Linked DNA regions of Caenorhabditis elegans. The protein of the gene in region 1 purifies or fractionates together with the protein of each later gene. This does not show direct contact. Each region holds a gene or a part of one and is shown in the gene's direction. Other genes may lie near its edges. The genes, in order: R151.8 and metl-1.

Evidence for each region.
Region 2: the proteins of R151.8 (region 1) and metl-1 fractionate together in Caenorhabditis elegans (co-fractionation; one large-scale study listed by BioGRID). This does not show direct contact.

The regions. Positions count from the first base shown.
Region 1 is NC_003281.10:7,226,188-7,231,828, reverse strand, and holds R151.8 (Myb-like domain-containing protein), read left to right. Parts: upstream 1-2,041; 5' UTR 2,042-2,043; coding exon 2,044-2,358; intron 2,359-2,405; coding exon 2,406-2,535; intron 2,536-2,583; coding exon 2,584-2,710; intron 2,711-2,760; coding exon 2,761-2,837; intron 2,838-2,886; coding exon 2,887-3,270; intron 3,271-3,315; coding exon 3,316-3,437; intron 3,438-3,488; coding exon 3,489-3,655; intron 3,656-3,925; coding exon 3,926-4,460; intron 4,461-4,510; coding exon 4,511-4,611; intron 4,612-4,658; coding exon 4,659-4,860; 3' UTR 4,861-5,022; downstream 5,023-5,641. Other genes in the region: Double-stranded RNA-specific adenosine deaminase adr-2, read left to right, coding at 1-35, 80-409, 483-656; R151.10 (uncharacterized protein), read left to right, coding at 898-1,030, 1,077-1,645; hsp-75 (Histidine kinase/HSP90-like ATPase domain-containing protein), read left to right, coding at 5,122-5,322, 5,640-5,641.
Region 2 is NC_003280.10:11,471,318-11,475,384, reverse strand, and holds metl-1 (tRNA (guanine-N(7)-)-methyltransferase), read left to right. Parts: upstream 1-1,809; 5' UTR 1,810-1,822; coding exon 1,823-1,914; intron 1,915-1,965; coding exon 1,966-2,028; intron 2,029-2,077; coding exon 2,078-2,472; intron 2,473-2,905; coding exon 2,906-3,126; 3' UTR 3,127-3,250; downstream 3,251-4,067. Other genes in the region: ngat-1 (Beta-1,4-N-acetylgalactosaminyltransferase), read right to left, coding at 119-528, 578-869, 928-1,110, 1,168-1,289; slc-25A37 (Mitoferrin), read left to right, coding at 3,374-3,427, 3,616-4,067. UniProt on the Caenorhabditis elegans protein: Catalyzes the formation of N(7)-methylguanine at position 46 (m7G46) in tRNA.

The DNA.
Region 1 (5,641 bases):
TCCAAGGAGCAATATTATCACATTTCATCGATCCAGTTAGTTTAACCTGATTAGTATAACATGAGATCTTGATTTTCAGATCTATTACTCGTCAATCGCCGTTGCCGAGTTGAACAATGCAGATCGTCTCCGTAAAGCAGTTTACAGCAGAGCAGCCACCTTCAAACCTCCAGCTCCATTCCATGTTCAAGACGTGGAAATCGGAGAGTGTCAAGTGGAAGATACTGAGCAATCAACTTCTGCAGCAGCACGATCCACGATTAGTTCGATGAATTGGAACTTGGCTGATGGAAATACAGAAGTTGTACGAACATCGGATGGAATGGTTCATGATAAGGATATGAGCGGGGCTGACATCACGACTCCATCCAGATTGTGTAAAAAAAATATGGCAGAACTGATGATTACTGTAAGCTGGGGGAAAATAAAAATAATTTTCTTGATGTTTTGAGTGTGAAACTCAACAATTCCTTCTATTTCAGATCTGCACGTTGACAAAGACTTCTGTGGATTATCCAATCTCATACGAAGAACTCAAAGCTGGATCTCAAGAATACGCTGCTGCAAAAAAGTCGTTCATTACCTGGCTGCGACAGAAGGATCTCGGAATTTGGCAACGAAAGCCACGAGAATTTCAAATGTTTACTATAAATTAATCAATGCAATTTTACCTTTATTGTATCAAAAGTTCAATGTGGTTCCACTTTTAAAAATCTCATGCAGCATCGTGTATTCATTCCATTTTAGCTGTTAACTCTTAATTTCTGCATTAATTAATTGTTAATCTTTTATTTTTTGGACTTACAATTTTCAGTGATTCGAGTTACTTATCTCGGAGTTGAATATTATTTAAGGAAACGAAAACTGGAATAAATATGTTTTTATAGAAATTTCCAGATGCCTGCATCAGTGACCCATGTGATTTTCGATTTTGACGGTCTTCTCGTCGACACAGAATCTGCATACACGGAAGCGAATATGGAGCTTTTGAGAAAATATGGACACGTTTTCACAATGGATTTGAAGAGAAGTGAGAAGAAATATCAGAAATATTTTTATTTTAATATAAATTTCAGGGCAAATGGGAAAACGCCATGATGAATCGATCCGATGGCTAATCAACGAACTGAAAATCGGCGATCTTGTGACACCGGAAGAGTATTCACGTCAATACGATGAACTTCTCATCGAAATGTTCAAAAGGAGTCCTGCGATGCCTGGAGCTGAGAAACTGGTTCGTCACCTTCTTCATACCGGAGTTCCAGTTGCATTGTGTACTGGATCGTGTAGTCGCACATTTCCAACGAAATTGGATAACCACAAAGATTGGGTGAACATGATCAAGTTGCAAGTTTTATCGGGAGATGATCCTGAAGTGAAACACGGAAAACCACACCCAGATCCATTTTTGGTGACTATGAAACGATTCCCACAAGTTCCAGAATCGGCGGACAAAGTTCTTGTATTTGAAGATTCGTACAATGGTGTCTTGTCGGCACTCGATGCTGGAATGCAATGTGTGATGGTTCCAGAACGATCGATTTTCGACCCCGATTCAGACCCAGAATTCAAAAATCGTGTGACTGTGATTTTGAATAGTTTGGAACAGTTTAAGCCAGAGGACTTCGGATTGCCCCCATATTAAATATATCATATTTTTCTTTCAAAAAACTGATGGTTTACTTCTATCTGTATTCGATCGTACTTTGTGATATTCACATAACCATTTTATATTTCTAGTTGTTTTTTTTTGAATATATTTTTGCAACAGTTTATTTCACATTGACTCTTTCATCGATCGATAGTGTTTGAGGCACTAATTATTATCTTATTTGACTTTCAAAGTTAAGGCAAATATATTATAACTGATTTTCAAATTTTTCTACATCAATCCAAACTGTATTGTGCATATGTTGCTATGCTATGTTCCTTAATCTATCTTGAATTTGGACATAATTTAACTGTGTACAAATGCGCTCTGGTGGTAACCGCTAATTTTGAAAAGAATTCTCGATTATATTTTCTTCATTTTTTGTTTCAGAAATGCAATCAGATGAGCCATCAACGTCATCTGCCAGTTCTTCTCGACGACGCATCGCCTTTGGGCGGCCTCCCGTATTGAGGGAAAGACCGCTTCAATCACCTGCACCGATTACATCGACTTCATTGACGTCCGGGCTAGACAAAGAACCTCAAACATCAACTGACAACACTACAACAAATGGAGAAATATTGAACCCGTCAAGTTCGGAACCCACGTGCACTTCTGTACTTTCTGACCAAAAATCGCTAGATCTTCCAAAAAGAAGAGCTTGGTCTTTTGATGAAGTTTGCGCTTTTCATGATGGAATCAAGCTTGTGAGTCATATATATTAACAATCTCTGTGATTATATTATTGTTTCAGCACGGGAAAGATTTTGACAGTGTTGTAAAGTTCATGGCGAAGCGAAAAATGGAAAAGACCAAAGATCACGTGAAGACGTTCTTCTTCAATTCGGCAAAAGCATATAAATCATTATTGGCAATGACAGATGGTAATAAGAATATATTTTAATCTGATCTCACATGTTTGTTAAATTCAGATGATTTTGCAAATATTCCACGAGATGCTCGAGAACTGTTTCTTCTCATCAACGCGTGCGAATATAAGCGTAAAACTGTTAATATGAAGGTTATTGTAGAGAAGTTGAAGGAGTTAGTGTTCGAAGGGTTGGTTTTAAAAAATTTGAACTTGAAAAATTATTACTAAAAGTTTGCAGAACTGTTGTCGTCAGAGCTGGTAGGAAATTGGTAACGATTAAAACACCACCTTGCCCAGCACTTTGCAGATACTTCAGTGAGTTTATGGATTGGAAATTAGTTTTTATTTAGATTATTGTTTTAAGGCGTCAAAAAAGGTGATAAAGTTCCAAATGATCTCTACATTCACCTCGAGCCAACAAGCAATGGAGACCATGTTTTCATGAGACAACGTAATCAGAATCCATTTCTTCGTGTTAAACTCAATGCAAACGATCGAATCACAAAACTTCTCGAGTTTTTGCACAAAAAATGGTCATTGGCAGGAGATTCTACCCCTATTTCAGTCACTTTATGGCCGGATAGTTCTTGTGAAATAGCGAGTTTATGCGTTCAATCGGCCGAAAATTCACCGTTCATCTCGTTGTCTATGAACAAATTGATTAAGAATGTAGAAGAGAGTAAGGAGAAGCTGGAAGCTAAGAAAATAGAAGTAACTGGAATAAAAGTGGCGACGGATGTTAATATCAGTTAGTTAATGATTCAGTTGACAAAAACATTTATTGTTTTTTCAGAAACAAAACCATCTCATACTGTAACTTATCCAAGACCTTTCACGTTAACCGATGAAATTATTGCGGAAGGAATAAATTCTAAAAATGTTCGAAATGCAATTGTGGCGGAACTTTTTTGTGTTGTAAGTTAATTTAACACTCTTATTATCAGTTTTATTTGTTCTATTTTTCAGTGTGGCCGTAAAAATCCAATCCAATTAAGATATCAAGTTCATAACGAGAACCAACCTATTCAAGCATCTGAACCCTGGAAAGTAATGATTAATCTATTAAATAGAGGATACGGAGATTGTTTGGCGCCGAGTAAGACCAGAAAAAGAGACAAACCAACGGCAGATTCGTGAGTCGCTTTTTCCTCCGATCCGAGTATTTTCAATTTTCAATCCGAGTCAAGAGTGTCATTAAAAAATTAACATTTTTGGGAACATCGAGAGATCAAAAAATATTTAGTAAATTAACAATAAAATTAAATTTTTCATCAAATTTTGATCATGTTGATGAAAAACATAGCTGCTAAAAAAATGACAAAAATTTAAGATATTTTTCTAAATATCGAAAAAACGAAATTTTTCGATGTTCCAAAAAGCTGTTGTTCCAAATATCATTACAGAGAACCAAGTTCGTCAGCTTCGAAAAAGAAAAAATGTGATGATACTACTTCGGATGTTCCTGGCAATCCAGTGAGCGACATCGTTCGACAAGAAACTGAAGACTTTGCATGTCAACTCGCATTTCTTAAAAAGACAACTCGAAAGAAGACTGCTCCAGCAAAACGAAAACCAACGAATCCAGTACTTGCAACAGTTACTCCTCAACTACTGATTCGTCCGCCACCCGGAGAGTCAAGTTCCGCTCCTGCGATTCAGGATCTTATGGTGAAACAAGTGTTCGCAGCACCAAAAACTACAATAATTCCGAGAAGAACCTCTACATATTCGGAAAAGAAATCTCTACTTCTATCAAATGCTCATAAAATATCAGAACTCACTGCAACTTCTGACTCACCAAGTACAAGTACTCAAGGACCAACTGATTTCTCATCTGTCGTGTTCTCTCCAACAAAACGAAGTGCAGATCCTGAATTGCAAAGAAAAAGAAATGATGCATTTTTATCATCTCTACGTACACCAGATCCAACTCCGAAGGTATGCAATGAGACAATATCGAATTGTAAAAAAATCTTCTAATTTTTCAGAAAGACAGCATTATGCAACAATATTTCGGTGGAGATCTATCAATGTCACCTGGATCGACACGACATGCATCTCATTTGGAAACTCCTGGAGGAAATAACACGTAAGTAAAGAAATAATTTGATAACAAATAATACAACTGATTTTTAGAACAATTGACTTCACCGACATGATGTACCAGAATATTACGAATCACGGAGATCTGACTACAATTTCTAATCCGGCTCTGCATTTCTCAGTTAATGAAGTTCACGAAAAATATCACGATATGATTTCTTCATCGCAAGATAGTCAGGATTACATTCTATCGCACTTTCAGAAGAAGAAGACCACGCCCAAGAAGAAAAAATAGTTTTTTTTGCTTTCTGATATTGAATCTCACGAATTGTATTTTCTTAAATATTCCATATTATTCATTTTCTGTACTACACTCAATTTTCCATTGAATTTCAGGTTTTTACTTTTTGCATTCCTTAATATTTCGATTCTTGCTTCATAAAATTTTTTTATACTGTTTTATATCTGCCAAGAGTTGTTTTATGAACTGGTTTGTTTTCCAAATATCATTATCTCCATCCTATTGCCTTTCCAGATCCAAAAATCATTTTATTAGATGTCGCTCCCGGTACGGATGTTAACTGGCAGGATCATGCGAACAATGAGATACGTAGCTCCCATCACCGCTTCACATTTCACCCCTTCTGTACCAACACAACGGAGATGGATGGCTTCTGAACCACAGAGACATGAATTCCAAGCAGAGACACGGAATCTTATGGACATTGTCGCAAAATCCTTGTATTCACACAGCGAGGTAAATATTTTTTAAAAAGTTCAATATAGCCCAGACACAAAATTTTTTGAATTTTGCGTCAAAAGTACGGTACCCGGTCTCGACATGAACTTTGACAAATCGTGCGAAAACTTCAAAAAAGCGATAAAAATTCTGCAAAAACGAACATTTCAAATTACAGTACTCTTTAAAGGCGCACACCTTTTTGTCTTTAACAAAGTTTGTCGTGTCGAGACCGGATACCGTATACTTCGCGAAAAAAATTGGCAGAATATTTCCTTATTCTCAAAAAATATAGGAAATTGATGTATTCCACAAGTATTTAATTTTTGTTTTAGGT
Region 2 (4,067 bases), on another chromosome or scaffold:
CAAAACAATTTTTTAGTACTTTCTCCAATGTTTTAGCTGAAATTAATAGTTTTAAGATAAATTTAAATCAAGTGATTTTTTATATTTTGACACTAGAAAATGCCTGATAAAAACCTACATCAACTTCGGCGCAGTCCGTTTCCTCTTCACATGCTTCAACATAGAATATCTCCCTGTTTCAGGATTTGGTCGTTCAATTGTGTAATTTAATGAAAGTATTCTCTGTCCCATATCATCGTCTTCACCTCCCCACGCCCAGAATTGATTTGAATATCCATTAACTGCACGATAATCTGCCATTGATACTGCTAAAACGCCTCCGACAATCTCCTTGTACCACAATTGATATCCCAGATTACTGACAAAAGCTCCAAGATGACGTGGACCAGGTGGGCACGAATACGGGTTCCGATCGTCTTGTGGGAACATGTCGACGTCGTGGAAGACTACACAATCGACTCCAAGGCTTTCTGCGAAGATAAATGCAGCATTCATAATTCGGCCTTTGTTGAACAAGTCGTTTCCATACTGAAAATTTAATATTTTTATTTAAGCATTGCTTTAAAAAAATTCTTACTTGTTCAGTAACAATGAATCGAAAATCTAGCCGCTGTCGTTGAAGTATTGGAATCAAAAAGTCGATCAATCGAGTCAAGTGAGTTTGCCTTTCTCGATATGGAATTATCACTGCGATTTTATCGCGAGCCTGACAATCATCCGGTTTCCATGAGCCACCTGGGCCAAGTTCTGGATGAATTGCGTGTACTTCTCCTTCTTGAAGATTTTGAATCAAAAGTGTGGCTTGTGGAAGAGCGCCTTGAAGATCTGGTATTTTCTCAACTATTGGACAAGATCCGTCCTCTTCGGCGCTGAAAAAATAAAAAAAACGTTTAGTTTAGATTCACAATAATCACTGAAAAAACTTACATTTTAACCGGTGGCTTTGGTTTTGTGACGGCTTCTTCCATATTTAAAAATGTTAGCGTCTGTCGAGCAATTTCCAATTCAACAGGATCCTTTATATCGTGTGTTCTTTCAGCGACTCCGCTGTTTTTTGATTGCTGTACATTGACATTGACAGATCGAACTTGCTCTTCAGTCGCTGCTATCCTGGAGACTATTTAATATTTAGTATCTCACATTTATAAAAATATATCAAAAACAAACCTTCTTTCATCATTTAATGTAGAATTTCTGAGTAGCATTACATAGATTAGTGTGGAGGCGGCAACGAAAATGATAAGTCGTTTCGGAGAAAAACTACGTATTATGCAGTGTGAGGTCCTCATTTTAAGTAGCTTTTACCGATAAATCAATGCATTTGAATTCTGAAAATTGGAAATTACTTTTTGAGGGGATCAGAAAAGAAATCCGGCTGTAAATAGAGTAAATAGGTGTTGAGGGGAAAGTTATGTGACAGAATAAGAGAAAAAGAACGAATGCGTGGCTGTGAGAAGTATATTCAGAACAACTGCAGTGGTTGTCCGGTCTTTTTTGTTGTAAGTGAAGCAACGGGAATTGTTGTGAAGAAGGCGAGAGACAATGCGAAACCTAGGAGACGCCGAGAACTCCCCAACACGAAAGTTGCGCACGAAAATTGATTGCTGGCGCAAATCGAGTTACGCTTGGCGCACTTCACGATCTTCTCATTTTTTTATTTTAATTTTTTTCCTTTTATAACTTTAAAGTTAACTTTCAGTAAATATAACTTTTAAATTATTAAAATTTAACTTTTTAAAATTAAATTGCGCATTTTTCAACTACCTCAATGTATAATTTACGTAAATATTTACATAATTTACTCGTGATTTTCAGCAAAAACATGGACATAACTCCTGCGCTGACAGAAATGGAATTGGATCACAAACCTACTTGCGAGACAGTTCCAGGGTTGCCTCAAAAGAAGCATTATCGGTTAGTTTCTGAGAAAACTAAAGTTTAATATTTAATAAAAAAGGATTTCAGGCAGCGAGCTCACTCGAATCCTCATTCTGATCATGACATTGAATATCCACTGACTCCAAACCAGTGAGTAAAATTAAAGTGTTACCTTTTGTTAAATTTTGACAATTTTTAGTATGGATTGGACCAAATATTACGGCGATTACACAAAAGGACGTCAAGTGGATTTTGCAGACATCGGATGTGGTTATGGAGGTCTTTTGATGAGATTGTCACCTAAATATCCTGATAATCTGATGATCGGTATGGAAATTCGTGTGAAAGTGTCGGATTACGTAAACGAAAAAATCCAAGCACTTCGAAAGCATCACGCTGAAGCTGGTCACTACAGAAATGTAGCCGTTCTCCGATCAAATGCCATGAAATACATGCCAAATTATTTCCACAAAGGACAACTTTCCAAGATGTTCTTCCTTTTCCCAGATCCACATTTCAAGAATAAGAAGCACAAATGGCGGATCATCACTCCAACACTGCTCTCCGAATACGCTTATGTGCTTCGTGAAGGAGGTATGAGAGTGACCTTGATCGTACCAGTGATCACAAGTGCAGATAATGGAATAGGAATAGTTTCAATGATAAGAATAGCGTATCAACGGTTGAAAATGTGTCTTTGTGTCCCTAATTCTCGCCATCAAACAATATTTATCATCTAACCGCGTGGCCGTATGCTGCTGCGAGACATTTCATCACCGAACATTTTTCTTGACTTTCGATAGATCTCAGAAAACTTTCCAATCTCTGAAGCTTTAATTGTTTCAAATTTGCACGTAGGCTTCTATCTTCAATTCCCTGCCCAATAAAATTAACAATCCGTTCCATGTGTGCCACGTGAGAACTATAGCTAAGTAGAAACCTGTTCCTTTCTCTGTAGCTCTGCGCACCTACAAGTGCATTTTCCCGCTGTGCCTATTGATCTTTGTTATAACTTTTATTTTTTCAGGTATTATCTACACAATCACTGATGTCAAGGATCTACACGAATGGATGGTCAAGCATCTCAGCGAGCATCCACTTTTCGAACGGCTGACTGAAGAAGAAATGAAAAAAGATCCGATTGTGGAAATGCTCTTTGAAAGTACTGAAGAAGGACAAAAAGTGACTCGAAATGACGGAGGAAAGTGGCCAGCAATCTTCAGGCGACTTCCGAACCCGGCCTTATAATCCCCTCTGCCTACTTCCAACATTCATCAATTTTTCACGAGACTCTCCCTCCTCCTCCGAGGTTGTTATTTAACTATTTTGTTGATTTTGTGTTTTTGTCTGTTAAATGAAATCCAATTCTTCTAATAGTCTGATTTTTTGAACTTATTTCCATCGAGTTTTCAAACTCTACTTATATATCTATTAAATTTAATCAATTATTAAATTTTTAAATCGCATTTTCAGCAGATACTCAGTACTGGGCAAAATGGGTGGCGGTGGCGAAGATGAGTACGAATCACTTCCAACACACAGCGTCCCGGTAAGAATTTTAATTAATTAAAAGAGATTGACAAAATTGAAGATTTCGGCAAAAATTAACCGTTTTCTTCAAAAAATACGTGTTTTTTTTTGAGAAGTTCCATTACGAATTCGGCGCATTTTTATTAATTAAAATTTTTTTATTAAATTAATTTTCAATTAGTGTTTCCCATTCTATCACAATCTAAGATTCAGGTGCACTTGACAGCTGGAGCCCTGGCCGGAGCCGTTGAGCATTGTGTCATGTTTCCATTCGATTCGGTCAAAACGAGAATGCAATCACTTTGTCCGTGCCCTGAAACGAAATGTCCAACTCCTGTACATTCACTGATGAGCATTGTTAAACGAGAAGGATGGCTTCGACCGCTACGTGGAGTTAATGCAGTTGCTGCAGGCTCAATGCCAGCTCACGCTCTATACTTCACAGTTTACGAGAAAATGAAGGGATATTTGACGGGAAACTCCGCGGGACACAGCAATACGTTAGCATATGGAGCTTCTGGAGTTGTTGCAACACTTATCCATGACGCTATCATGAATCCAGCAGAAGTAGTGAAGCAAAGAATGCAAATGGCTTTCTCTCCATACGGATCATCGTTGGAATGTGCTCGATGTGTTTATAATCGGGAAGGTGTGGCGGC